Linked DNA regions of Anolis sagrei. The protein of the gene in region 1 interacts with the protein of each later gene in a pairwise test. Links are inferred from orthologs where the notes say so. Each region holds a gene or a part of one and is shown on either strand. Other genes may lie near its edges.

Region 1 (7,442 bases):
TTAGTCAGGAAATGAAAATCTAAAAAGAAATGGGGCAGCATTGATAGTGAGATACAACAAAAGCAGTCAAAAGATATCTTGTAAAATTTGATTGAATAATATCAATAATATTTCTGGAAAACCCCATCAATATAACCATTATCAATATTTATGCTCAACTACAGAGGCAAAAATAGGAACAATTGAAAAGCTGTATGCTGAGTCCAAGATGAAATTATTCATATACCAAAATAGAAGTTCTTGTTAAACATAGGTGATTGGAATGTAAATATAAGAAACAGAACAATATCAAAGCCTGTGTGAAAATTTGACCTAGGAATAAGAAATAAAGTAGGAGGGTAACTATGTTCATTGAAAACACATTCTTCAAGCAATTGTATATATGGACATCATCTGATTGATTTATTTCATCTCAAAAGCATTGAATAAATAAGTATAAAACTGATAAAAATAGAAGGAGGCACAAGTGGCTAAATAATTTTTGACCAAAAATGGGCAACAGCGACCACATTGTCTGTGGACTTAAACAATTCTTCCTCTGTGCATGAGGCAGGACATTGTGGCCAAGCATACAGTTGCCGAGTTGTTTCTTCTGCTCCACAGTCGCACAAGGTGGAGGAGTCTTCTAAGTAGTGCCATTTGCCAGATTGTCTTTTGATCTGCCCACTCCACGTCTGAGTCTATTCAGGGACTTCCAAGTTGGCCATTCTTGGTTTGCCCTGGAGGAAGACCCTAGTGGGGGGGGGGGTCCATTTGGGATTTCCTGCTTTAACTGCCTAGAGGGATACTCTTGCTGTTGCTGGGGGAACGTTAAGAGGAGTGGTGATTCTAATGAAGCTTTTCTTGATTTGAGTCTACTGGGAGGAGGCCGATAACCATACAGTGGATGGCTTTCACAGTGTTCAACCTTGTTTCTCTCACAGTTAGCAGCAACTTCCCATCGCACATCAGGGTGGGGAACGATGCCAGGTAGCACCTGATGGCCAATAGAGAAATCAAATAGGCTATATAATTGGAAGCAAATGATGGAGAAGCTCCATTTTGTCTGCAAAAACTAGATCAAGAGCACCTTGTGGCACAAAACATGAACTAATAAGATTTTTTTAAAAATCAAGTAAAGCTAATGACAAACATTAAACAAGTCCTCTTGCAAAATCAATCCTGAACAGCATCCTCATAGAATTGAAATATACTATAAAAAGGAGATGTATATAATTAAACCTAATTGATTGAAGCAAGGAACATTTTTTCAACTGGCAAACACTAAGAAAATGTAACTGAAAAACAACAAATGCATCTAACTTTTTGTACTACAGTGTTTCTGAAATAGTTTACAAAAATATGACCAAACTTGTTTTTCCATCAGCACCATAATATCCTGTTTCTTATATACTTTAAATAGGCTCAGTAACATTTTAGTCATATAGAGTTGACCGAATCAGTTTAGTGCCTTAGGCAAGCTAAGCTAACATAAAGTGCTTAGTCCCTAAGGCTTGCCATGTTATTTTGGCACATGATGCAGAAAATCCCAATGCCTGGCCGTAAAATGAGAACAACAACAAAACAATAACGATTTGCTGCCCCTTCACTGCCACTGAGTAAGACGACCACCTAATTTGCCAATAAGAAGGCAGGCCTTTTATAGGTGTACAAAACATCCATGTAAATGTCGTTCTTATGAAACAAGAAATATTATATTGCCATGTCTCTTGTACTGAAGATCTGGACAGAGAGAGGGCAGGAACTCCTCTTTGAGAACCAGGTTTCTCATCACAACTGTGTAGCTGTGTTAAGGTATCACATTGCATCCTGGAGAGGCCAGTTCTGTCTCTCCTGCTAAGAACTGTGTAAAGGAGGATGAATAATACAGGAGAGAGGAAGCAGTCAGATTTGCCTGAGTAAGCAGAGAGAGAGAACTTTCCCAAGAGGCGACCAGCACTATCCCAGATCAAATAACTATGTTCTTTTTTTCTGGGGCATACACATCACATGCCAGCCAACACAGTCACTCTTTAGAAGTAAAGCCCGAAGGAAAAGAGATCTTTAGAGCTGATTGTAAGTTGGAGAACATGCCTCCTTGTGAGATCCATAGCAATTTATCATGAACTTATTAATCATCTTTCTTTTATTGATAGAGTAAGTGTCTTTGTTACATAAGCAATTCTTTTGACTGCTGTGCAATTGCTTTTACTTATAGCAGCATGCATCTGAGAAAAATACTGGCAAGTCAAAGTAGATGCTTAAGTTTATTCTTGACTGACTGTGTTGAAAAAAAGGAAATTGTAGGAAGCCTTATTGATTCAAGTAGCAAGAGATGGGGAATCTATATGACAGCAGTATCCTATTCCTTTGTATCAAGCCCATGCGTGATAATCGTAAAGCAACACTGTTTGGTTATGAGTTTTTGTTGTATGTATTAGTTTGACTTTTTGGTCAAGAAAGGGATTTGCTGTATTAAGTATTGCAAATTACCACAAGAGGGCACACATGTGGCCTGATTCTCTCACAGTAGGTTTTCATCAAGGGAAGCCAGTTTCTTTTGTTCAGAGCTATAAGGCTGTTTACTGTGAAACCTGTCTTTGCATGTATGCTGTCACTCAGATCATCACTACAGGCCAGGCAGCTCAAGGATGTCTTTTTGTGCTCTGAATTATTCATAAAAACTCCAAACATTTATCTATGACAACTTTACATCTTCAGAACATATTTACAGCATTTGCAGGGTCAACTCAAGACATTTTGGTGCCTCAGGGCGAACAATACATGGTGCCTCCTGCTCACCCAAATGTACTGCCAACATTTCATGGATGAAAAACAGGACACGGGCAGCCAAGTAGTTTCAGATTGTGATCAAGGTGGCAAAAAAGAAGAACACTCTAGACAGGAGAAGCTGCAGCAGTTTGTCTTTGCCTAAATCTACAGGGAAGGGCAAAATTCTGACCCTCCTCTCCTCCCCCTGCTAAATTAATTGAGTGCAAACTATTTTTGCAGTTTGAACCCAGTTTTCAGCAACTGAAATAGGTTAATGATAATGGGAGCAGGAGGAAGGGAAAGAAACTGTGACAATTTAAAAGTTGCTGAAAAAGTAGGACTGTGCCTGCTAAATCTGGACAGTTAGGGGGTATCTGCAATAGTGCAAAACAGCAAAAGCCAACTAAGCCATTCTGGTCCATGAGTCAGGTTCTATGTGCCCTGCTATAACTCCCCAGATCTGTTACCTGAGGCAACTGCTTCAATCTGCTTAAAAATAGGACTAACCCTGGGGCTTATCTGGGATATCTGAAAGGATGCAGACTAGAGATATGCAAAGGAAAAGTGGCTCACCCATTATGGTTGCTATAACAGCCTGTGTCAGAACACACACCCAGGGGCAGCTCAACCCATTACGCAAAGTAAGCATTCGCAGTATAGTTGATTTTGCCCAGGGGTGCCCCTGAGGCGCTCTTGGGGGGAAATAGACCATGGCATATGCGAGTTGTAGTTACTGGGATGTATAGTTCAATCAAAGAACATTCTGAACTCCACCAATGATCGAATTGAACCAAATATGGCACACAGAACTCCCACGACGAACAGAAAATACATATCAGTGATTGGGTGGGGGGTGGGGGCAAAATAGTTTGCTTACCATTGAAAATTACCTAGGGCCGCCTCTGTACACACCAAACTCATTTCCTTTTTATGCTATCTACTCCTTTGTAGAGAATCCCAAATGTGGAACTCATTTTTCAATATGGTACTTTTTGAAAATAAATCTAGTCAGCTAGTAAAAAAGGAACAATAGGTCTAGAACCCACAGGGCAAACTATATATTATAGTATTTATATAGTGTTTATATCCTTACCACTTGTGTGCTGATGACAAAAAGCCCAATCCATCCACCCACCATGACAAATGGAATGTTACATTGGACCCAAGATGTGGAGGAAGATGAGCTTTAATTCTTTGTTCCTGCTGAGGTCCTAATCCAGAGAGGGCTTCTGAGCGTGCTATTTATTTCTTTAAGGTAACCACATGAGAACAAAAGGCTTGAACATCTGATCCATGCAGCTGCTAGAGTAACATGGCTCTGAGAATCTGATGTAAACATTGATGATAGAATGAGGAAAGGGACGTGGAGGGAAAAAATAGGGCAGGATGGGGGAAGGAAAAGAGGACATACTGAAGCCAACATGTAAACAGAGAAGGGGGGAGGATGGGGAAGGAAACAATTACACGTGTGTGGAAGAAAGGAAGTGCAAGAAGGTGGGGGTGATGGATGGGGGATCCAAGGAAAGGGAGAACACAAACAGCCCCCAGCTTATGTTCTGCTTTCTCTGCAGTAATGTGTTCACCTTGTGCTGTCAGCAAGTCATTACTCAGAGCTTGGCTAGCGATTGGCTGGCTAAAAATGCCTCTCTAATCTCTGGGCTGATCTTTACCCCCCTCCCACCCATCTGCTGTGACCTTCCTTCCAACGTGCACAAGCTGAGAAAGAAAGGGAAGAATCCAGTAGAGTTCCTTGCCAGGCAGTTGGCATCCAAACCAAACGTGAGACCGCAGTGCTACTCGGCTGGGACCCAGCTTTTCTGGCCAGGATCTGATGGTTCCTACAACCAATCCAGAAAGGTATGTTGTGGGCAATTTCTTTTATCCCTTAAGACCATCCTGCATCCTCTCCTCCACAGATTATATTCACATTTCTATAGGCTGTTCCATCAGCCAAGTGGTCCTTAGCATCATACTACATTTGGGATGCAGCCAGTCTTGATAGGAATGTGTATGTGTTTTTGTAAACCACCAGCCCATCTGCTATGCAGATCTTAAGGTGTGGGTGTTTGGCCTGTTCCTATGAGACACGTGGGCATCAGGTGGCTGCTGAGAATCATAACACACCATAAGGCCCTCTTTTGCACTGCTGTGCACCAGTCATGTTGTTCATGCTGGGGAAGAAACAGACATTCACTGGGCATTCAGAGAGGCAGCACTACTTTGTGGAAGGTTCTAACTTTGTTTTCTGTGGCACAGTTTCAGTTGACGTTGTTTCCACCTTCAGTGGTTCAAATTACCTGAGATGACTCTTATTTCACCACTTCATTTTCAATATTGCTAACATGATCAAGGTGCAAAGGAGTCATAAGATAAGCATGATTTGGATAAAACTTTGAGGTCCATGAATGAAATTGATAGATGTGTCCTGTCTGTGAGGTTATGGGTAGTCTCCATCCGCGTTCATATACAAAGTTGTTATAGATGAAACATTTATATTTCATGCATAGACATGGACAACAGTACATTGACAGCATAATATAAATAAATGAGAAAAGAGACTCACTCTGCAACACATATAGAAGTCTGGCTTACCATAATTATGACATGGATGTTCCCCAGATGGTAGTCCCTCTTTAGTGTGCTATCTTTGCTGCACCAATGATTTGCTATCTCCAACTGGAAATAGGGACAAAATACTGGCACCATCCTAAGATCAGCTGCTTTGTAGCTGAAAAAGCACTGACCCATAAGCCTTTTAGACTCTATCTGGGTCTTCTTTGTTTTAAGCTTTATACGGGTTTACCCTGCCAGCTGTTTCTAAGGCCACCATGGAGAGGATAGGGAACAGATTAGAGAGAGAAAGGGTTAGCTTGAAAAGGGGTCTCTTGCTTACTCCTCATTTGCAGTAACAAAGTCCTCCAGGGCATAGTATATTATCAAGTACACACTACTAATAAATCATTTCCATTTTTTTCTCCATCCAGACCAAGGAAGTAATGTAACATTACATGTAATATATTAATTTTGGGAGGTAACAAAATTAGAGTTAGAGTTTTGTGCAAAAATAATATAGGAACTGGCAACATCATTACTTTGGGAGCAGAAGCAGTCACCTTCACCTTTCATTTGGTCAGAGGTCCAGTTTTGGGCCTCACTCATTTTTTGTATTGTTAAGTTTACTTTCAATAACAAACAACATTAGTTACTTTTTAAAACATAATACCAAGTCATGAATTACTTAGTAAAATAATAGTGCAGGGTCTATATTCATTATGAAGTCTTTCCTCTATAATTTCAGTAATTTTAAAAGACAGAGAAATTTCAGTTCAAATGCATTTAAATTCTGCCAGAAAAGAACATAGTAAAAACTCTATTTTTTAAAATACAGTAATTGAACTGCTCTAAAGGGATTTATTTTCTTTTAAATGGTTCATTTTCCTTTCTTTTCTTTATTTTATAGGCATCTGTGCATTATTATATTATTTGCTTAACAAATAAGAGAGAATGAAGAGCTGTTATTTTCTAAAACAGCAATAAGAACTGAGAACCAGGGTGGTGCCATGGTTTGAGCACTAGACTGTGACTGGAGACGAGGGTCTGAAACCCACTTGAGCAAGCCACACTCTCTCAGCCTCAAAGAAAGGCAAAGGCAACTCCCCTCTGAATCTTGCTAAGAAAACCCTATAATAGATTTGTCTGATGTTGCTATAAATTGGAAATGACTTGGAAACACATAACAACAACAACAAACGTGAACTGAAGCAGCTATGTACAGATTAAACTTCTTATTTTCAAATCTAATCTATTCATCTCCTAATCTGTTGCTGTTCTTTGGGTATCACGTGATATTCACATTCTGTGGCAGATGGTGGCTTCCATATAAATCTACGTTTTCCCATCAGAGTTTTAATTTAAGCATTAATGGATCTATCCAAGGTGCTGAACTCTAGCCCCAAATATGTAAATTCCCCAGGAAATGTCTTTCAAAGCATAGTCTAAGACCTAGAGTTGATTTAATAATCCATTAGTGTGAAAGCCAGCAGCCAATATTTTTCAGATTTCCACTAGAGGGAAACGCTTTCTAGGAAGGGCAAATGTTTTGATCTGTGGCACCCTGGATTCTTCTCCCTTCATTTGGCTCTTGCTGAGCAACTTTTCAAACTGTTAATCTCCTTAGCATGGCTATGTGTGGTCAGCTGAATATCTCTTGAATCCTCACATCACTCTTAACACAAACCTGCACATCTCTACTCAGAGGAAAGCCTTTGTGAGTTCAGTGGGACTTATTCCCGAGATAGCTTGTATAAGGTTAGCTTTAGACCTAAATCCTTTTGCTCTCTTCTCAACTAAAGCAGACCCATTGATTCAATGAGATTTGCATACATTTTAAACTCATCATTGGGCAAACGATTCCTTGTTTCTGCTTTAGCTGGAGTTAGCAATTGGATGTAGGCTTACATACTAAGAGCTTTGGCTGTTCCTGGATCCAATTTGGTCTCTGTTCAGTCACATGACTGATTATTTTATTGAAAGGAAGTCTTCAGGTGACCTCTTTGACACTCCAGAGAAAGATTCCTGTACTAATAGTTGTTGCCTCTTGTCTTTGTATCTGAACTGCCCCAAATCTAGAAAGGTCAGCACAATTCAATCATAACAGCCAACTCTAGGAAACCAAACGTGGTTAGAGGGCA
Region 2 (7,591 bases), on another chromosome or scaffold:
CTTGCTAAGGCACTGGACCAAGGGAAAACTTCAAGGAAGTTCATGAAGTAAGAGCTTCAAGGGAGATCTCCAAGGTGTCTTTCAAGAAGGTCTCTAAGGCACTGAACCAAGCGAGAGCTTCAAGGGAGATCTCTAAGACATTGAACTGAGAGAGAGCTTCCAGGGAGGCCTCTAAGACATTGAACAGGGAGAGAGCTTCAAGGGAGATCTCCAAGGCACTAAACCAAGAGAGAACTTCAAGGGAGATCTCCAAGGCACTGAGCCCAGTCTTTCAGGAAGGTCTCCAAGGCACTAAACCATGAGAGAACTTCAATGAAGAACTCCAAGACACTGAACCAACATCAGAATAAGTTTTCCAAGATGCCAAACCAAGAGAGAACTTTGAGGGAGATCTTCAAGGTAGTGAACTAAGTCTTTCAAAAAGGTCTCCAAGGCACTGAACCAAGAGAGAACTTCAAGGAAGATCTCAAAGATGCTGCACCAAGACAGAACTTAAAGGAGGTCTCCAAGTCACTGAACCAAGAGAGAACATCAGGAGAAGTTCTCCAAGATGCTAAACCAAGAGAGAGCTTCAAGGAAGATTTCCAAAGTGTTTAGACAAGAAGGTCTCCAAGGCCAAACCAAGAGGGAACATCAAGGAAGATCACAAAAAGAGAGCTTTAAGGGAGATCTTCAAGGTGTTGAAAGAAGTATTTCAAGAAGGTATCCAAGGCACTGAACTAAGAGAGAACTTCAAGGAAGATCTCTAAGACATTCAACCAAGAGAGAAAGTTTCAAGGGGATCTAAAGACATTCAACCAAGGTAGTGCTTTCAACAAGATCTCCAAGGCACTGAACCAAGGAAGTTCTCCAAGATGCTAAACCAAGAGAGAGTGCCAATATGTTGAACAAGTCTTTCAAGAAGGTCTCCAAAGCACTGAACCAAGAGAGAACATCAAGGGAAGTTCTCCAAGGCACTGAAAAAAGCGCTTTCAAGGAGGTCGCCTAGATGGGGAAAAGGACCAGGAATGAGATTCAGCGGCTTGGAGAGGTCCTTCAAAGTCTAAATGAAAAATCTGGAGTGGGTTCCTCTCCCCATCACCATAGGAGCCATCCATTCCTTTATATTTAAGAGCTGGACCCAATTCTTAATCTGCGAAGAATAGCTCCAAATGGTATGATGCCCTCTATATTCCTCCTCTGCTCCTTCCCTCGGCTTAAAGATAATCCCTTTCTGACTTTGTATTAATATTCCCTGGACGTCACCTGGCTTTGGTGGTGGTGTTTAATCCGAAGGGCCTCAATCTTTGTCTTTCTCGGCAGCATAAAACAAAGGTGAAACATTGGAAGAGACCCCCAATGGTCATCCAGTCCAACCTCAATTAATGAGCGGGTCATCAATCCATTCCACTAGCTTGGCTAATATTCATTTAAGAGAATCATAGCATTTCAAACATCAGAAGGGGACCCCGTCTAACCCAATGGAAGAAAACACCATCCAAGCACTCCTGACAGATGAACACCCAGCCACTGCTTAAAGACCTCGGCTTTTCCTCCTTTGGTTTGATAGAAAAGAGGCCCTTGCTCTGTTGACAGTCAGCTTCCAATGCTCATCAGCGTTTTTAATTGAGAATTGCTGACATGTTGGCCTCCGGAGTGTCCTTAAAATCTCCTTAGTGGGAAGACAATGTGACAATTGCAATGGCTTCCATGTAAATGGGCCATAGCATTAAGATTGTATTTATTATTGTTGTTGTTGTTGTTGCATTTATTATTATTATTATTATTATTTAATATTTTAATATTATTTTATTATATATTATTATTATTGTAATATATTACTATATATTGTTATATATTATATTATATTTATTATTTTATTATTTTATATTTTATATTATTATCTATATTATTTTATTATTATAATATTTTAATGTTTTATTATATATTATCATTTTATTATTATTAGCTATTATTTTTGCAATATTATATTATATTAGCTATTATTATTAGCTATTATTTTTGCAATATTAACCCAGGCCTTGCTTTTCTGTCCTGAAAGAGACTCCGAGCAGCAACAATGCTCCAAAACAATGTAATGTACCCTTATTAATACATAATATACTAATAAAATATTAAAATAACAAATACTACTAATAGAGCAGTAATATATAATGATAATATAATATATAATAATAAATATAATACAATAATAGATAATATAATAAAACAATCATATATAATAATAACTATATACAAAATAAAAATAATACAAGCATACATATAATGTAACATATAATACACATTATATAGTAATATATAATATACTAATAAAATAGTATATAATAATAAGTATATAGTATAATAAAAATAAAATAATAAATATAATATAATAATATATAATAAACTAATAGTGTATAATGATAATGATATAATATCTAATAAAAATATAATAGTAAAGTAATATATAGAATGATATTAATATAATATATATTATAATATATTATAATATATATATAATATTATGATATAGTATAATAATAAAAATAACATAATTATCACTGACGTACAAATGTGAAGGAAAGAACGATAGAATACAATGCAGCAAAGGTGGAAGCCGCCTGCTTGACCTCTGAGCATGCACAGAGTGCAAAGGAGCCTGCGAGAAACAAAGCTGGATGGAGATTATGGTGGAGCGGAGGAAAAGGAAGCCATCGGAGGAGAAATAAATGAAATAAGGAGGAGTGGTCTCACCTACCGCAAAGGAGGAAGCGGCACAAAAGCAGATCTGCTTCATGGTGCCCCCGAGGAAGTAGCGGGTCGCCATCCATCCGAATGCAAAGGAGCGAAACAGGGGAGAATGGAGAAGGCAAAGATGAAGGATGCTCTCGGCTCAGATGCTGGGAAGAAAGTGGTCCAGCGAAGATCAGAAAGGGGAAAGGATGGAGCCAAACAGTGGCCTCTAGTGGCCGATGGGGGAGTTGCAAGGGCGAAGATTAAGAAGATCAGAAAGGGAAAAGGAGGGAGTCCAACAGTGGAGAGTTGCAATGGCAAAAAAGAAGCTCGGGAAGGGAAAAATATAGTGTCAGGTAGTGGCCGCTAGTGGCCGATGGCGGAATTGCAATGGCAAAGGAGAAGCTCAGGAAGGGAAAAGGCTGGAGTCAGGCAGTGGCCTCTAGTGGCCAATGGCGGAATTGCAATGGCAAAGGAGAAGCTCAGGAAGGGAAAAGGCTGGAGTCAGGCAGTGGCCTCTAGTGGCCAATGGCGGAATTGCATTGGCAAAGAAGAAGCTCAGGAAGGGAAAAGGATGGACTCAGGCAGTGGCCTCTAGTGGCCAATGAGGGAATTGCATTGGCAAAGAAGAAGCTCAGGAAGGGAAAAGGATGGACTCAGGCAGTGGCCTCTAGTGGCCAATGGGGGAATTGCATTGGCAAAGAAGAAGCTCAGGAAGGGAAAAGGACGGACTCAGGCAGTGGCCTCTAGTGGCCAATGGGGGAATTGCATTGGCAAAGAAGAAGCTCAGGAAGGGAAAAGGATGGACTCAGGCAGTGGCCTGCATGCTGCAAGTCGCTTCTGGACACAGCATATTATTTGAGAACACAGAAATGCTGGACCACACCAACAACCACCATGTCTGACTACACAGAGAAGCCATTGAAATCCACAAGCATGTGGACAATTTCAACAGAAAGGAAAAAACCATGAAAATGAACAAAATCTGGCTACCAGTATTAAAAAACTCTAAAATTACAACAGCAAAACAATAGAGAGGAAACAACCAGGCACATCTTAACAACTCTCAACAAAAGATTTTCCCAGGCTCAGCCAGGCCTTCAAATGCTAATGAAGGTGGTCAGTTGAAACATTCACACCTAGCTCCAGCAGAGAAGAGCTCTTTGCCCCTCCCCAGCCATTCCACAGATATATAAACCCATTGTCCTAATTCCAACAGACCTCACTACCTCTGAGGATGCTTGCCATAGATGCAGGCGAAACGTCAGGAGAAATGCCTCTAGAACATGGCTCTATAGCCCGAAAAACCCCACAAGAACCTTGCTTCTGGTTGCTTCTGAGGCAAGAGAATCAGCCATCTACGAAGACGTTGCCCAGGGGATGCCCGGATGTCTTGCAATCCTGCGAGGAGGCTTCTCTCATGTCCCCCAAAGCAGGGAGCTTTGAGATGGTTGAACAGAAGCTCTCCGAAGCTCTAGGTGCCCTTACTGCCTACTACAGGGAAAACCAGCTGATCCCTAACCCATCTAAAACACAGACATGCGCCTTTCACCTTAAGAACAGACAAGCATCCTGAGCTCTGAGGATCACCTGGGAAGGAATCCCACTGGAGCATTGCAGCACACCCAAATACCTGGGAGTCACTTTGGACCGTGCTCTGACCTACAAGAAGCACTACCTGAACATCAAGCAAAAAGTGGGCGCTAGAAACAACATCATACAAAAGCTGACTGGCACAACCTGGGGATCACAACCAGACACAGTGAAGACATCTGCCCTTGCGCTATGCTACTCTGCTGCTGAGTATGCATGCCCAGTGTGGAACACATCTCACCACACTAAAACAGTAGATGTGGCTCTTAATGATACATGCCGCATTATCACAGGGTGTCTGCGCCCTACAACACTGGAGAAATTACACTGCTTAGCCGGTATTGCACCACCTGACATCCGCTGGGAAGTAGCAGCCAATAGTGAAAGGACCAAGGCAGAGACATCTCCAGCTTATCCCTTGTTTGGGTATCAGCCAGCACGTCAACGACTTAAATCAAGAAATAATTTTCTTAGATCTACAGAGACACTCACTGGAACACCTCAGTAAGCGAGAGTCCAAAAGTGGCAGGCTTAAATCCAGCACCTCAATCCGTGGGTGATACCAGATGAGAGACTCCCCCCTGGGAACAAAGAAGACTGGGCGACTTAGAAGGCGCTGAACAGACTGCGCTTTGGCACCACGAGATGCAGAGCCAACCTTAAGAAATGGGGCTACAAAGTGGAATCCACGACATGCGAGTGTGGAGAAGAGCAAACCACTGACCACCTGCTGCAATGCAACCTGAGCCCTGCCACATGCACAATGGAGGACCTTCTTGCAGCAACACCAGAGGCACTCCAAGTGGCCAGATACTCTTCAAAGGACATTTAAACAACTACCAAATTTGCAAAATTTGTGTTTGTTTTGTTCTGTTAGAAATGTAATACAATGGTATGGTTGCTGATGACACGATAAATAAAATAGGCAGTGGCCTCTAGTGGCCAATGATGGAATTGCAATGGCAAAGAAGAAGCTCAGGAAGGGAAAAGGATGGACTCAGGCAGTGGCCTCTAGTGGGGCGTAGCATTACTATTATTATTGTATTAGCCATCCCCCTGCCACGCGTTGCATGTGTATATGTGTGTTTGCGTATATATATATATGTAGTTTTGCACATGCATTTTTTGCTTTTTTTGCTTTTTAAGTCCCTTCTTCAGTGTTTTTCAGTGTTTTTCTGAGTGATGGTCACTTGTTGGCTTGATACGTGTCTTGTGTCCAAATATGGTGTTAATTTGTCCAGCGGTTTTTGTGTTATGTTCATCCCACAAACATTACATTTTTATCTATACAAATAGGAGCCTAGTGTCTAGATCTAAGGAAGTAATGCTACCCCTCTATTCCGCTTTGGTTAGACCACACCTGGAATATTGTGTCCAATTCTGGGCACCACAATTCAAGAGAGATATTGACAAGCTGGAAAGTGTCCAGAGGAGGGCGACTAAAATGATCAAGGGTCTGGAGAACAAGCCCTATGAGGAACGGCTTAAGGAGCTGAGCATGTTTAGCCTGAAGAAGAGAAGGCTGAGAGGAGACATGATAGCCATGTATAAATATGTGAGAGGAAGCCACAGGGAGGAGGGAGCAAGCTTGTTTTCTGCTTCCTTGGAGACTAGGACGCGGAACAATGGCTTCAAACTACAAGAGAGGAGATTCCATCTGAACATGAGGAAGAACTTCCTGTGAGAGCCGTTCAGCAGTGGAACTCTCTGCCCCGGAGTGTGGTGGAGGCTCCTTCTTTGGAAGCTTTTAAACAGAGGCTGGATGGCCATCTGTCAGGGGTGATTTGAATGCAATATTCCTGCTTCTTGGCGGGGGGTTGGACTGGATGGCCCATGAGGTCTCTTCCAACTCTTTGATTCTATTGTTCTATGATTTTATGATATAGATTACTAGCCGTCCCTTGCCATGCGTTGCTGTGGCTCAGTCTGTGTATATGTGTTTTGTGTATGTGTGTGTTTGCATATATATATATGTGTGTATGTGTGTGTATTTGTGTATTTGTGTGTTTATATGTGTATATGCATATTGTGTATATGTGCGTATATATTTGTGTATATATGTGTGTTTGCTTATATACATATACACATATATATAGGGGTGTATCAGAGGCGGCCCTAGGTAATTTTCAACAATAAGCAAACAGTATTTGCCCCCCCCCCCCAACCAATCACAGATAAATATTTTCTGTTCGTCGTGGGAGTTCTGTGTGCCATATTTGGTTCAATTCCATCATTGGTGGAGTTCAGAATGCTCTTTGATTGTAGGTGAACTATACATCCCAGTAACTACAACTCGCATATGTCAAGGTCTATTTTCCCCCAAGAGTGCCTCAAGAATGCCCCTGGGCAAAATCAACTATACTGCAAATGCTTACTTTGCGTAATGCGTTGAGCCGCCCCTGGGGTGTATATATGTGTGCGTATATATGTGTGTGTGTGTGTATGTGTGTGTGTGTGTATATATTTGTGTATTTGTGTGTTTATATGTGTATATGCATATTGTGTATATGTGTGTATATATTTGTGTATATATGTGTGTTTGCTTATATACATATACATATATATACGGGTGTATATGTGTGTGTATATATATGTGTGTGTATATTTGTGTATTTATATGTGTACATGCATATTGTGTGTATGTGTGTGCTTGTCTATATGCATATTTGTGTGTATATATGTATGTGTGTGGATATGTATATGTGTGTGCATGTGTATATGTATATATGTTTGTGTGTGTATGTGTGTATTTGTGTGTGTTTGTGCATATACATATATACGCATGCGTGTATGAATGTGTGCATGTGCATATGTATATGAGTGTATGTGTGTATGTATATATGGTGTATTTTTGGATTTTTAAGTCTGTTCTGCTGGGGTTTTGTGTGTGTGTGTGTTTATGGGTGACGGACACTCGTTGGACTGTTATGTGTATTGTGTCCAAATTTGGTGTCAATTCGACCAGTGGTTTCTGAGTTCTGTTAATACCACAAACAAACATTACATTTTTATTTATATAGATTATTGTATTTTTAATATTTTATTATTATGTTGTTATTATGTTATTATTTTATTATATTTCATTACTTCATAATTATTATTATAATATTATTTTATTATATATTATAGTAATATTATATATTATTATTTTATTTTATTTTTATTTTAATATCATAATATTTTTTATTTAATTATTATTTTGTTATTTTAGTATTATGTCATTATTATGTATTTATTTCATTAGGATGGAGTCAGGCAGTGGCCTCTAGTGGCTGATGGCTTCCAT
Region 3 (7,015 bases), on another chromosome or scaffold:
AGATGGGCCAAAACTAACAAAATGAAATTCAACTGTGACAAATGCAAGATACTCCACTTAGGCAGAAAAAATGAAATACAAAGATACAGAATGGGGGACGTGTGGCTCAAGAGCAGTACGTGTGAAAAAGATCTTGGGGTTCTTGTGGACAACAAGTTAAACATGAGCCAACAATGTGATGTGACGGCAAAAAAGCCATATTTGGTCTGCATCAATAGTATAGCGTCTAGGTCCAGGGAAGTCATGCTACCCATACTCTATTGTGCCTTGGTTAGACCACACCTGGAATATTGTGTCCAATTCTGGGCACACACACAATTGAAGAGAGATATTGACAAGCTGGAATGTGTCCAAAGACTAAAATGATCAAGGGTCTGGAGATCAAGCCCTATGAGGAGTGGCTTAAAGAGCTGGGCATGTTTGGCCTGAAGAAGAGAAGGCTGAGAGGAGACATGTATAAATATGTGAGATGAAGTCATAGGGAGGAGGGACCAAGCTTGTTTTCTGCTGCACTGGAGACTAGGATGTGGAACAATGGCTTCAAACTACAAGAAAGGAGATTCCATCTGAACATGAGGAAGAACTTCCTGACTGTGAGAGCTGTTCAGCAGTGGAACTCTCTGCCCTGAAGTGTGGTGGAGGCTCCTTTGGGGGCTTTTAAGCAGTCTGGATGGCCATCTGTCAGGGGTGCTTTGAATGTAATGTTCCTGCTTCTTGGCAGGGGGTTGGACTGGATGGCCCATGAGGTCTCTTCCAACTCTAGGATTCTAAACTAAGACTACTGCACTGTTGGCATAATGTGAGAAGATAAGATTCCCTAGGAAAGGCAATGCTTGGTATGGTAGAATGCATTGGGAAAGGGGGAAGACCAGATTACAGTTAGGGCCCTTCCACACAGTCATATAATCCCGAATATCAAGGCAGAAAATCCCACAATATATTGTCGAAGGCTTTCATGGCTGGAATCACTGGGTTGTTGTAGGTTTTTCCGGGCTATTTGGCCATGTTCTAGAGACATTCTCTCCTGACGTTTCACCTGCATCTATGGCAAGCATCCTCAGAGGTAGTGAGGTCTGTTGGAACTAGGAAAATGGGTTTATATATCTGTGGAATGACTAGGGTGGGATAAAGAACTCTTGTCTGCTGGAGCTAGGTGTGAATGTTTCAACTGACCACCTTGATTAGCATTTGATGGCCTGGCAGTGCCTGGGGTAATCTTTTGTTGAGAGGTGATTAGATGTGCCTATTTTGCTGTTGTAATTTTAGAGTTTTTAATACTGGTAGCCAGATTTTGTTCATTTTCATGGTTTCCTCCTTTCTGTTGAAATTGTCCACATGCTTGTATATTTCAATGGCTTCTCTGTGTAGTCTGACATGGTAGTTATGAGAGTATTATTTTTATTATTATTATTATTAACTTTATTTGTGTAGTCTGACATGGTAGTTATGAGAGTATTATTATTATTATTTTATTATTATTAACCCTGCTAGCATCTCCTGAAGGATTCGATGCGGCTTACAAAGGCCAAGGCCTCAATTTTTTTTTTATGATTTTTTGTCGTGTCAGGAGTGACTCCTGGTGTGAGGGAATTGGCCGTCTGCAAGGACGTTGCCCAGGGGACGCCTGGATGAATTGATGTTTTTATCATCCTTGTGGGAGGCTTCTCTCATGTCCCTGCATGAGAAGCTGGAGATGATAGAGGGAGCTCATCCACCTCTCCCTGGATTCAAACCTGCTACCTGTTGGTCTTCAGTTCTGCCGGCACATACCAAGGCCTCAATAAAACAACAACATAACAAATACACAACTTAAAGCAAATCAAAAACAATTAAAGCAATATCAGAACAACAAAAACAGTACACCAAAACATGATAAAACTAGGGCCGGGCCAAATGTAATGGGTACAGATTAAAAAGTGCTGAGTGTGACAGGTGGTAGGGTAAGTGCAGTGTGCAGGCAACCTTAAACTCTAATAAAGTGCTTCTGGGACGTGTTGCTGGAGTTTTCCTATTCTGGAAAGGCACATCGGAACAGCCAGGTCTTCAAATACTTCCTAAAGACTGCCAACGTAGGGGCCTGTCTGATGTCTTTGAGTTCCAAAGTCGGGGGGCTACCACAGAAAAGGCCCTGTCCCTCGTCCCCACCAAACGCGCCTGCGACGCAGATGGAATCGCGAGCAGGGCCTCTCCAGATGAGCGAAGCAGTCCAACATTTCTGTGTTCTCCAATAATCTGCTGTGTCCAGGTTGGTTCATCCCACAATATCTGCTTTGAACTGGGATCTAAGGCAGCGTGGACTCAGATAACCCAGTGCAAAGCAGATATTGTGTGTTACTCTGCCTTGATATTCTGGGTTACAGGGCTGTGTGGAAGGGCCCTGAGAGAAAAGCGGGATAGAAATAAATTATTGTTATTGTTGTTGTTATTATTACTATGCCGACCTCGCAGACTGGAGAAGTTCTTTGTCTAAATGCTGATGGGGAAGAAAGGGAAGGAAAGGTGTAGCAGAGTCTTTCCTCCCTTGGCAGAGGGCAGAGAGAAGGCAGGGGGTGCGGCCGAGGGGCATCCTTCCTTTCCCTCAGGCGGTGGCCGGCTGGGGAGACCTGCCACACTTCAGTCCCAGCCAGGGAGGGAGAGGCAGGTCCGAGGGAAGCTCCAGCCGTAGTGAGGGCTCCTCTGGGGCATTCTGGGTAATGCTGGAGGGGGAAAGAAGGCCCCCAGCGTGAGGCGAACTGACTGAGGGGAGACCAGTCAGCCCCTTGGCCGCCCTTCCTCCTTCTCTCCCTCCCTGTCACGCGCCGCTTGGCCCGCGCCTGTTACCTCAGCGGCCACGCGGACGGCTCGAGACGAAGCCTCTCCCGCCTCGGAAGCAGCCGCGGCGCCTCGCATTCCTCCGCCGTCCCCGTCGATGCCGCCACCTTCGCCTCTGCGCCTTCACAGCAACTTCGCCCCGCAGCGCAACCCAACCCGCGTGTGCCTGAGCTGGGGGGGACCGCCCCCGCCCAAAGGCCGCGCGCGCTCATTGGCGGACAGCAATGCCAATCTCAGTCAAGAACGGAGCGGGCGGGGGCAATGAAGCCCTCCTGGCAGGAGGGAAAAAGAAACGATGCGCTCGTTCCCCTCTCAACTAAATGGGCATTGCTATTGGTCCGTAGCGTTCCGAAGGGGCGGGGTTGTTTATACCGAAAGGCGTCGCCATTGGACAGCTGGGGCGTCCGTTTGAAGGGAAGCGGCCCGCCCTTGGGTCTGGGTGAGGGTGGGGGAGTTGTGGCTGAGATTGGGCGGGGCGCGGGGAGAGGAGGGAGGTGAGCCTGGTCCTGAACTCTGGGGATCCGGGTTCGAATCCTCGGTCGGCCCTGGAAACAGTTTGGTCCAGGCACACTCTCTCAGCCTCAAGGGAAGGCCAAGGAAAACCCCTCTCCATACACCTGGCCCAGAAAACCTCAATGGATCTGGAAACGAGAAGTCCAGAACAAAGTTTGCCAGGGAAATACAGGAATTGACTTAGAATCATAGAGTTGGAAGAGACCTCATGGGCCACCCAGTCCAACCCCCTGCCAAGAAGCAGGAACATTGCATTCAAATCACTCCTGACAGATGGCCATCCATCCTCTGTTTAAAAGCCATCATAGAATCATAGAATCACAGAGTTGGAAGAGACTTCATGGACCATCCACTCCAACCCCCTGCCAAGAAGCAGGAATATTGCATTCAAAGCATCCCCGACAGATGGCCATCCAGCCTCCGCTTAAAAGCCTCCAAAGAAGGAGCTTCTACCACACTCTGGGGCAGAGAGTTCCACTGCTGAACGGCTCTCACAGTCAGGAAGTTCTTCCTCATGTTCAGATGGAATCTCCTCTCTTGTAGTTTGAAGCCATTGCTCCGCGGCCTAGTCTCCTGGGAAGCAGAAAACAAGCTTGCTCCCTCCTCCCTGTGGCTTCCTCTCACATACTTATACATGGCTATCATGTCATATAATTCAGATTAATCATAGAATCAAAGAGTTGGAAGAGACCTCATGGGCCATCCAGTCCAACCCCCTGCCAAGAAGCAGGAACATTGCATTCAAATCACCCCTGACAGATGGCCATCCAGCCTCTGTTTAAAAGCCTCCAAAGAAGCGGGGCAGAGAGTTCCACTGCTGAATGGCTCTCACAGTCAGGAAGTTCTTCCTCATGTTCAGATGGAATCTTCTTGAAAATCACATTACTAAAATAGCAGCAAGCACTGATATATATATATATATATATATATATATATATATATAGTACTAGCTGTCCCCTGCCACGCGTTGCTGTGGCCCAGTCTGGTGATCTGGAATATAAAGTAATGAGAAAGTGTTGCTTTCTAATACATGTAATTTCTTTATGCTTGTGGGTAAATGGTATTTCTTGCTGTTTCTTTGTCAGTGTTGATGTGGAGATTGTTTGGTTTGCCTACTCTGGAACATGTGACATATAATTGTCCTTCTTTAGGGGTCCCTTTCAAATCTATGATACTATATCTCTCTGTGTGTGAATCATATCTATCTATATCTATGGCTGGATGGCTCTTTGTCAGGAGGGCTTTGATTACGTTTTCTTGCCCTGATGAAGGGAGTTGGACTGGATGGCCTTAAGTATTTTCTGTTGGTCATGGGGGTTCTGTGTGGGAAGTTTGCCCCAATTATGTCATTGGTGGGGTCAGGCATGTAGCCGGGGGGGGCTTCAGCCCCCCCCCCCCGGAATTCTCATGGTGGTCTGCGAAAAGGCCTTACTGGTGCATTATTTAAACTGTTATGTTTATTCATATCATGATCTGATAACCATACTCAATATATCCCATATGCATGAGGGTATTGGGGTAATGATACAAAAGGTTTGCTAGGTTGAGCTGGCAGGACTGAAGGTCGCAGGTTCGAATCCAGGGAGAGGCAGATGAGCTCCCTCTGTCATCTCCAACTCCCCAAGCGGGGACATGAGAGAAGCCTCCCACAAGGATGATAAAAACATCAAAAATCATCCGGGTGTCCCCTGGACAACATCCTTGCAGACAGCCAATTCTCTCACACCAGAAGCGACTTGCAGTTTCTGAAGTTACTCCTGACACGACAAAAAAAAAATCTGAATTGCAAATACAGAGTATTTTTATTTCATTTGACAGCTATTCAAGAAACCTGTGCGAGCTCCCGATTGGTTGAAAAACATCATTGCTGGTCATTGCTTTGTATGGCATTACATTTAGTAAATTATCATTGGTTTATTTTGAGTCTGTTTATTGATCCGCCTCTGTGAAGGGCATGATCAGAAAGCAATGCACTGTGGCACTGGGAAATGAGTCCATGATGGGCTTGGTTAACACAATAGGGATAATCTTAACATACAATAAAGTGCACCCAGGTGTTGTTAGTTGATCGCCCTCTCCCCAGGGAGCTGATACAGAGGTCTAGGAAAAGGGAACATTCCCAGACTAGCCGAGGCCATATGCCGAATAGATAAAGAAACCCAAAAGTCTCTGACTCGAATTCCTTGTATGTCCCTCTCCCATTCTCCATAATTATATGGGAATGATGGTGATTTTCTCTGGGTGAGGATGTGACAAGGACGAGGTGAGTTGATGTCCTAGGAGATTTCCAAAGAATTCCATAGAAAGGTGATTAGGAATAACCTAATCACCCTTGAACAGGAAGACATAGTTTTAGAATTTTTATTTTTATTGCTTTTGTGGTTTTTAAATGTATTATGACGTGATTTTTGCTTGCTTTTAACCAATGTATGTATTTTTATATGACATCTAATTGTTGCCGATTTGTACGCTGCCCTGAGTTGCCTTCGGGCTGAAATGGGCGGGATAAAAGTGGCATAAATAAATAAATAAACATCTGGCTGGCTGTGTTTTCCAATGGAGCCACAGAGGATCTTGGTATCAAACATTAAGGGTTTTCTTTCACACACTTTTGTGGGAATTTGTTGTCTTCAGCTCCTAAGATTCCGTGGCATTGAGCCATGGCACTTAAAGTGATGTCAAACTGCATTCACTCTACAGTGCAGATGCATCGCTAGACACACAGAGAAACAGAGTGGTGTATAAAAGTTTTGATTCCAAAGTTTCAATTATGCTTTTAAGTTACATGAATTTTGTGGACAGATGGTAGCAGCAACTCCAGAAAATTGTGGAAATGGGACTGCCAAGGAGGCTTGTCTGTACACGTGACCCATCTTCCTGGGAAATTTTTGCCTCTAAGATATGGTTGTTGTTGTTCATTCGTTCAGTCGTCTCCGACTCTTTGTGACTTCATGGACCAGCCCACGCCAGAGCTCCCTGTCGGCCGTCACCACCCCCAGCTCCTTCAAGGTCAGTCCAGTCACTTCAAGGATGCCATCCATCCATCTTGCCCTTGGCTGGCCCCTCTTCCTTTTACCTTCCACTTTCCCCAGCATAATTGTCTTCTCTAGGCTTTGCTATCTCCTCATGATGTGGCCAAAGTACTTCAATTTTGTCTCGAGTACAGTGGTTCTCAACCTGTTGTCTCCAGATGTTTTTGGCCTACAATTCCCAGAAATCCCAGCCAGTTTAGCAGCTGTTAGGATTTCTGGGAGTTGAAGGCCAAAAACATCTGGGGACCCCAGGTTGAGAACCACTGCTCTAGTAAGATATGGTTAGCTGAGTGAAAAACTTAGTCCGTGCTACAAAAGAATATTTTTTATTCTGCAGTCATCATGTGGGTTTGTCCCAGCACTTTGTTAATATGAATAGAAGATTTTGCATGGAAAGGAGAAAGGTTTGAAAAGGTGTTCTTCAATATGTACAAAACACAGACCCAAACTATCTTATAATATCAAAATACTGTATTCTCCATAGAATATTTATGTGATGCAAGCAGTGCGAACTGTGGTACTAAACTGTCTTTCGTTGCTCCTTACTCCAGTGAAGCAATTCCATAGTGCCGTCCTGAGACAGTCTGCTCCCCCTCATTGCTTATACAGGTTGCTTATCTGAAATTCTGAAATCTGAAATACTCCAAAATCTAAAACTT
Region 4 (7,262 bases), on another chromosome or scaffold:
CTAGGTTGGCAGAAGTTGGGGCTAACAGCGTGAGTTCATGCTGTCCCACAGATTCAAACTGCTGACCTTCTGGTCAGCAATTTCTGCAGCTTAGTGTTTCAACCCGCTCACCACCGAGGCCTCTGTGTGAATTCATTTATAGTATCATAAAACATTGCAGTTTGAATGCTAGGGGAAATGAAGCCATCATAGTATTTTCTAAGCACTATGTTGTGAAATGGATTCTTTGTCAGTAATGAGGCTGTGTTTATACTGTTGAATCAATGCAGTTTGGCACTACCTTTAACTGGTATGGCTTAATGGATTAATGGCTTAATCATGAGGGTTGTAGTTTTGCAAGGAATCTATCCTTCTCTGTCAAAGAGTGATGGTGTGCCATCAAGCTTCCAATTTTGAGATTTCAAAGTATGGATTCATGGCAGGTAAAGTGGTAACAAACTTAGACCTGCTCAAGCTGTGGCTCTCCAGGTGTTAGCCCCAGTTTCTGCCAACCTAGCAGTTTGAAAACATGCAAATGTGAGTAAATCAATAGGTACTGCTCAGGCGGGAAGGTAACGGCGCTCCATGCAGTCATGCTCACCACATGACCTTGGACGTGTCTATGGACAATGCCAGCTCTTTGGCTTAGAAATGGAGATGAGAACCAACCCCCAGAATTGGACATGACTGGACTTAACGTCAAGGGGAAACAACTTTACCTTTACAGTTCCAGTGAATATTGGTTGACAAACTCTGAGTGTTAGTGTGCTGTCACACGCTGGGCCTGTGCATAAGACTGTAGACAGGACATAAATTCTGTGTGCCTAACAGGACGCCGGGGCTGCCTCAGATTAAAGGCCTTTGGACCTCCCCAAAACAAAGTCTTTAGATTGCTTAAAGGTTCAACAAAGTTCTTTATTAATGAAAACAAACAGCTATTTCAAGGCTTTCTTGACAGTCTATAGCCTCTTTCAATCTTGTCCACAGGGAACAGGCACTATCTTCATGACTGGTATTTTAACTAATGGGGAAATCCTTAACTTCTAATCTGGGCAGTCTTTCTTTGCCTCTGTTGGCATGGAGCCCCTACACCCGGTACCAACTGCGTCTGGCTTCCGCAAGTGACCCTTACCAAGCAGAGCTTTGTAGACTTCCAGGGAAAAAGGAGTTCAGGTTTTGGTGATGGCTGGCTGAAGTCCCTCAGCAAAGGAGCTGTAAGGCTGTATCTCCCCGGCCAAGCCGTAGGCTGTATATCTCCCTGGCCAAGCCATAGAAGATGAAGCTTTCTACAGGAGCTCTTGGTATTATGTCCTGCATGGAAAGCTTCTCTGTGTGGACTGAACTCAAAAAGGTTCCTATTCCCTCCAAAAACCCAAAGGGGGCGGGACCAGGGAACCTAACGATAATTGACAGGTGGCTTTCCCTATGATTGCAGCCAAAAGAAGCCACCTATCTGCAGAGTCCCTGAAACTTAGGACTACCAATGAACATTCAATGCAAAGCAAACAAAATTGGAGCTCCTGGTACAGCTGTACCTGCACAGTTAGAGTAAGACTCTAGAGACCTGGGGGGGGGGGGGCATCTACGCTGTAGAATTAATACGTTTGGCACTACTCTAACTGCCATGAAATTGTGGGATTTGTAGTTTGGCAAGGCACCAAGTACTCTGTGTCAGAGAGGGCAAAAAAAACCAAACACACAACCATGCAACACTGCAACTCCCAGCATTGCATAGCCATGAGACATGGCAGTTCAAGTTGCATTCATTCTCCGGGGTTGATCCAGCTCAGGATTGACCATAGAAACTCACTCCTGGACAAGGCACTGACTCTCATAGAATCATAGAATTGGGAGAGATCGCGTGGGCCATCCAGTCCAGCCCCCTGCTAAGAAGCAGGGCAACCCTCAACCCTAGAAAACTCTGGGCCAGGCCTGACATAGGTTGGCAACGGCTTGAAGGTACACCCCAAGAGCCAAGGCTGTGGGAAAGCAGCGCTGGCTCTTGAACCTTGAGCTCTGGAGCTGTTGAGAAAGTTCAGCCGTCAGGAGCGCATCCAGCCCCCAAAGCCCCAAATATTGGCGGGCAGCGCTTCGGGGGAGGGGACAAAGGTCGCCGGCGCACTTCGGGGAAGGAGAAAAAGCAAGAGCTGTCCTCCTTTCTGGCGGGGGGGGGGGGGTGACCAACCGTTGCAAAGGGGGCGAGGGAGGGAGGGAGGGAGAGAGAGCCACCAGCTCGCTTTCCTAGCTGCTACCGCCTTGTTTTGTGCATCATCCCAAGGTCAAGGCGAGCACGGCAAGGGGCGGGAGGAGGAGGAGGAGGAGGGCGGACCCGGCTCCTCTCCTTCCTGTGTCAACTGTGCAAAGTTCTCTCTCTGTGTGTCTGTCTGCAAACCGCAGAGATCTTGGGGAGGAAGAGAGAGAGAGAGAGAAAAGGAGGTGGGGGGGGGGGGGGTGGAAGGATCTCAGCGAGCCGGGCGTGAAGTGGGACAAACTGGCGAATCAGGAGGGAGAAAAGGAAGGCAGGCAGGCAGGCTGTCCTCGAGGCCGCCCCTCCAGGCCCGGAGCGCGCGCTCCCCGCCTCCTCCTCCTCTTCCTCCTCCCTCTTGGCAAGCACCGCCACGCCGGAGGAGCAAGTGCTTCCTAACGGCTCCCGGTCGGAGTCTCTGTGTATATGTGTGGGACACACCTTGGGCTCCGCACACCTCCTTCCTCAAGAGAGAGAGAGAGAGGCCAGCCCCACAGAACTTTGCGAGCCACGCCGAGGAGCCCCCTGAGGGGAACTTCCTCGCCGCCCGAGCCCACCCAGCCAGCCACCCAGTCGGCTTGGGGGTCTCTTGCCTGGCCTCCTTTGCCTCCCTCCCAGCTCCACCCCCACGCCCCCTCCTGCCCTCTTTCCCTCCCTCCCGGCTCCGCGCGAGACGCGTCTTCTTTTTTGACGCAGGAAGAAATGGCAAATTTGAAGTACGTCATTAATATGGCGCCAAAAGATTTGGTTAAGTATAATCTTAGGAGGAGGATGCTTTGGGGGGAATAACACACACACATACACACACCCCCGCGGATCAGGAGCGAGGTGCAGGTTTAGCTCCGAGGAAGGGAAAGCAAGCTCTGGGGTCGGTGTTTTTTGGAGGGTGGGAAAAGAGTGTTGCACCTCCGAGGAAGGGAGCCCAGAAAGTGCGATCCCTGCCTCTGTGTGTGTGTTTATGTGTGTGCATTCGCGCCAGGCTGAAGATCATTGCGAAAGTGACCTGATCAGGCTTGTTGGAGAGGGATCTCGAGGGAGAGAGAGAGAGAGAGAGAGGGCAGGGAAGGCGAGCGAGCCTGGCTTTGGCGTGCCTCCCTCTCTCTCTCTCTCTCGGAGTGAGCCCTTTGCAGCTGCCCAAGGCGCAAGGAGAGAAAAGCAAGCGAGCGATGGGGACTGGGCGCATCGGAGGGAGGTGAAGGCGAGGGAGGGGAAGGGGGAGGAGGGGAGGAGGGCGAGAGGGAGGGAGCGAGGCAACACATGCCCAACACAATCAGGGATGGGACCCACGTCTGCAGCTGCACCTGGACCTGCTGCTCGCCGGGAAGAAACAACCAGCAAGAAAAGAAGAAATTGAAAAAGGGGGGAAGGAAGGAAGGAAGGAAGGAAGGAAGGAAGGCGCGTGGAGAAAGGAAAAGGGGGAGAGAGAACTCGCCAGCATCATCACTGATCCACTCCTAAGAAGAAGAATCCGAAGTCGCTGCTTGGCCAGTAGAGAAGGAGGAGGAGGGAGAGCAAGGGCCAGGGTGGCAGGATTTTCGGGAGAAGAAGGAAAAGAAGAAGAGGAGGAAAAGTGGATGTAAAAAAGGGAAGAGAAGCGCGGGGCAGGGCCGGCCGGGTTGGGCTCCGCGCGGCCGTCTCCGCGGGAAGCCGAGCCCGGGGGATTGTGTGCGCGCGCCTGCCCGCTTCCTGCGCCCATGGAGTTACTTTGTCTCGAGTCCTGAGCGGAGGGGCGAGCAGGGCAAGGGAGAGAGGGAAGGGCAAGGGCATGCGGCGCCCCCGGACCCCCCGCCCTCGCCGACGCCCCCTGGCCTAACGCCGCTCCCCAGGAGGAGGAAGAGGAGCCCTCCGCTTCCCGGACAAGGTAACAAGCCAGCGGAAAGCTGCCCCTGCCTTCCTTCCCTCCCTTCCCTTCTGTTTCTCCGCAGCTTCCCTGGATGGCTGCCTCCCTCTCTCCCTCCTTCCTTCCTCCTTCTCCCTCCTGGCGTTTGTTTGCTCCCTGCCTGGCTGCAAAGGAGGAAGGCGGGGTGCGTGCAAGAGAGAGAGAGAGAGAAAAAAAAGCGAGTGCGCGAAGTGTGTTGTTGCCTCTTCCGACCTGGATGGTGGTGATGGCGCATGTTGGTCCGTCCTGCTTGGGAGAGAGAGGGAGGGAGGGAGAGAGAGAAGGAGGGAGGGAGGGAGGCGGCAGGGATGTAAACAACCAACTTTGGGAAGCTTCCCTTGGATTAATGACTGCGGCAGGAGCCAGACCCAAAGGTCGGTCTCCAAGGAAGGCGGGAGGGAGGGGGGCATGAGGAGAAGAGGCCGAGCAGTTCTCTTTTGGGGGGAACGAGAGGGGGGGGGGCAAACCGACTGGGTTTCCCTCCCTGCCTGGCAGAGGGGTTGGGCTGGATGGCCTCTTCCAACTATGAGCCAATGTGAAAGGGAAAGAGGGGTGTGTGTATTGGGCTAGGTGACCTCTTCCAAATATGATGGGAAAGGGGTGTGTGTGTGTTGGGCTGGATGGCTTCTTCCAACTGTCTGAGCCTATGTGAAGAGGGAAAGAGGTGTGTGTGTTGGGCTGGGTGACCTCTTCCAAATATGAGCCTCTGTGAAAAGGGATAGAGGTGTGTGTGTGTGTGTGTTGGGTGGGATGGCCTCTTCCAACTCTCTAAGCCTCTGAAAAGGAAAGAGGTGTGTGTATGTATGTGTTTTGGGGCTGTGATGGCCCTTGAGGTCTAATCCAACTGTTATGATGAGGAGAAGGGGTGCTGTATGTGTTTGTGGATTGTGATGGCCTTTGGAGTGTCTTCCAAGTCTTAGGGTGAGAAGGGGTGAAGGAGAGGTGTGTTGTGTGTGTGTGTGTGTTTTGGGTCCGCGGTGGCGCGCGGGGTCCGGGGCAACGAGGAGCGACACGAGTTCCGTTTGTGTTGGTTGATCCGCAGCACGTTTCGCAGCCTCTTTTCCGCGGCGCCCACATGATCGGAGCCTCTCACGTGTCGCCAGCCAGGGTTGGGGGCTTCCTCTCAGCGCCTCCCTCGGATATAAACAAGCCTTCCCTTTGGAGAGAGAGGGAGGGAGGGAGGGCGAGCTATCTCTCTCTCTCTCTCTCTCCAAAGGGCAGCAGTAGCAGCACCCGCCTTTCTTTGCTGGGGCGCTGGTGGCTTTGGCAGCGCGGGGCGGGACATTGTGGTCGTCGGCCTGGAGAGATTTGGGAATGGAAATGTACAGCAGTGGCCGCCAAGGGAGCTGCGCGGCAGGGAGGAGGAGGGCTGGAGGGGGCGTGGCGCTTGTTTACCTTCTCCAACTCGCCCGGCTCCCTCCGGTGGGGGGGGGGGTCTTCTCCTCTCACCCCTCCGCCTCCTCTTCCTCCTCCTCCTCCCCCCGCTGGTCTTCCCCTCCCGGAGAGCCATTGCTTCCACTCAGCTGACCTGCATTCCCTCCCTGGCATTGCACTTGGCTCCCGCCTTGGCCAGGCATGGGCAAACATCGTCCCTCCAGATGTTTTGACAGTCGGTAGGGTGTTAGGAATTGTGGGAGTTGAAGTCCAAAACACCTGGAGGGCCAAAGTTTGCCCATGCCTGCTTCAGGCTCAGCCAAGGTAATACACATTTAGAATAATGATGGCATCTTATATCTTCCATGCCTAGTCTATGCTGTGGGAATGATGCACTTTGACACCACTTTCACTGCCATGGAATCATGGGATGGGTAGTTTTACAAGGTCTTCAGTCTACTCTGCCCAAGAGGGCCGGTGCCTCGTCAAACTCCAAATGCCATTGGAAATTGAGCCATAGTGGTACCAGGCTGCATTATTTCTAGATGCACCTAGGCTAGGCTTTCCTTAGCTCTGCCAAGCTGCAATCTCTCATGCAAGCATTGCTATTTTCCCCCTCCTCCAACCTCTCCTGGAAGGGGTGTCCAGTGTATCTCCCTTTCATGCTTTGGAGAGAAGGTAAAGGTAAAGCTTTTCCCTGACATTAAGTCTAGTTGTTTCTGAAGCTTGGGGGGGAGGGGGGATGCTCATCTTTATTTCTAAGCCAAAGAACCCGTGTTGTCTATAGACACTTCCAAGGTCATGTGGCCAGCACTGTTCCCTTCCTGCAGAAGCAGTACCTATTGATCTACTCACATTTGCATGTTTTCGAACTGCTAGGTTGGCAGAAGCTGGGGCTAACAGAGGGAGCTCACACCATTCCCCAGATTTGAACCGCTGACCTTTCAGTAAGCAAGTTTAGCAGCTCAGTGGTTTAACCCGCTGTGCCACCAGAGAATAGGTAGTGATGTTGAAACCCAACATTGTCTTGGAATTAATGCAGTGTGACAGCCCATCAACTGTCGTGACTTGATGCAGCAGAATCCTGGGAGTTGTAGTTTCAAAAAGTCTTGAGCCTTCTCTGCCAAAGAGTGCTGGGACCTCACCAAATTACAACTGCCAGGATTCCATGGGATTGAGCCAGGGTGGTTAAAACACTGCCAAACCGCATTAATTCTGATAGGGTAGAAGCACCCATAGTTCAAGGTGGGGAAATATGGGGGGTGAAGAGAAGGTGAAAGTTTCCTCCTTTTTTTTCTTTGCTCTCATGTGTTCCTTTTGGAGCAGGTGACATCCTCTCCCTCCCTTCCAGTCATGAACACCTTTCTCTTGGCCACTCCTATCCAACTCCCAACTTCAGATCTTCCTCAGGACATTGGGGGAGGGGTCGTAATAACCTTCCTCTGAAGCTTCATTGTGTTGCAGTCCAAATTGACTTTTTAAAAAGCTGGGGGTGGGGGTACAGTTTGGAAGGTAAGACTGTGTTGGTAGTCTTCACATCCCCCCCCCCCCAACTCACTATAGACCTATCTTTTCCTAGTTCCTAATCCCATTGAGAATAAGGTTAGTCCAGGGATAAACAACAGTGCTAGCCATGCTGGTCCCCAAGGTAAACAAAAACCAAACCCATAGCTAGCCAGTACATGTATTATGTCCCATTGATAAAGTTTTCCTGTTTGTTTGTTTGTTTGTTTGTTTATTTATTTAAAATCTTCAAATCCTACCCTATATGCAACATTAAAATGA

Evidence for each region.
Region 2: the proteins of PACSIN1 (region 1) and ANKRD24 interact in a two-hybrid assay, tested with the Homo sapiens proteins (2 studies listed by BioGRID and IntAct). The link is inferred for Anolis sagrei from reciprocal best matches to the Homo sapiens genes PACSIN1 and ANKRD24.
Region 3: the proteins of PACSIN1 (region 1) and EHBP1 interact in a two-hybrid assay, tested with the Homo sapiens proteins (2 studies listed by BioGRID and IntAct). The link is inferred for Anolis sagrei from reciprocal best matches to the Homo sapiens genes PACSIN1 and EHBP1.
Region 4: the proteins of PACSIN1 (region 1) and JADE2 interact in a two-hybrid assay, tested with the Homo sapiens proteins (2 studies listed by BioGRID and IntAct). The link is inferred for Anolis sagrei from reciprocal best matches to the Homo sapiens genes PACSIN1 and JADE2.

Annotation. Positions count from the first base shown.
Region 1 is NC_090024.1:189,108,227-189,115,668, forward strand, and holds the start of PACSIN1 (protein kinase C and casein kinase substrate in neurons protein 1), read left to right. Parts: upstream 1-4,418; 5' UTR 4,419-4,608; intron 4,609-7,442. UniProt on the Homo sapiens protein: Plays a role in the reorganization of the microtubule cytoskeleton via its interaction with MAPT; this decreases microtubule stability and inhibits MAPT-induced microtubule polymerization.
Region 2 is NC_090034.1:49,847,416-49,855,006, forward strand, and holds the start of ANKRD24 (ankyrin repeat domain-containing protein 24), read right to left. Parts: upstream 3,019-7,591; 5' UTR 2,807-3,018; coding exon 2,738-2,806; exon of another isoform or gene 2,734-2,737; intron 1-2,733. UniProt on the Homo sapiens protein: Component of the stereocilia rootlet in hair cells of inner ear.
Region 3 is NC_090021.1:152,430,301-152,437,315, reverse strand, and holds the start of EHBP1 (EH domain-binding protein 1), read right to left. Parts: upstream 3,007-7,015; 5' UTR 2,821-3,006; intron 1-2,820. UniProt on the Homo sapiens protein: May play a role in actin reorganization. Links clathrin-mediated endocytosis to the actin cytoskeleton. May act as Rab effector protein and play a role in vesicle trafficking.
Region 4 is NC_090022.1:91,846,426-91,853,687, reverse strand, and holds the start of JADE2 (E3 ubiquitin-protein ligase Jade-2), read left to right. Parts: upstream 1-4,249; 5' UTR 4,250-4,336; coding exon 4,337-4,342; intron 4,343-4,378; exon of another isoform or gene 4,379-4,477; intron 4,478-7,262. UniProt on the Homo sapiens protein: Scaffold subunit of some HBO1 complexes, which have a histone H4 acetyltransferase activity. Acts as an E3 ubiquitin-protein ligase mediating the ubiquitination and subsequent proteasomal degradation of target protein histone demethylase KDM1A.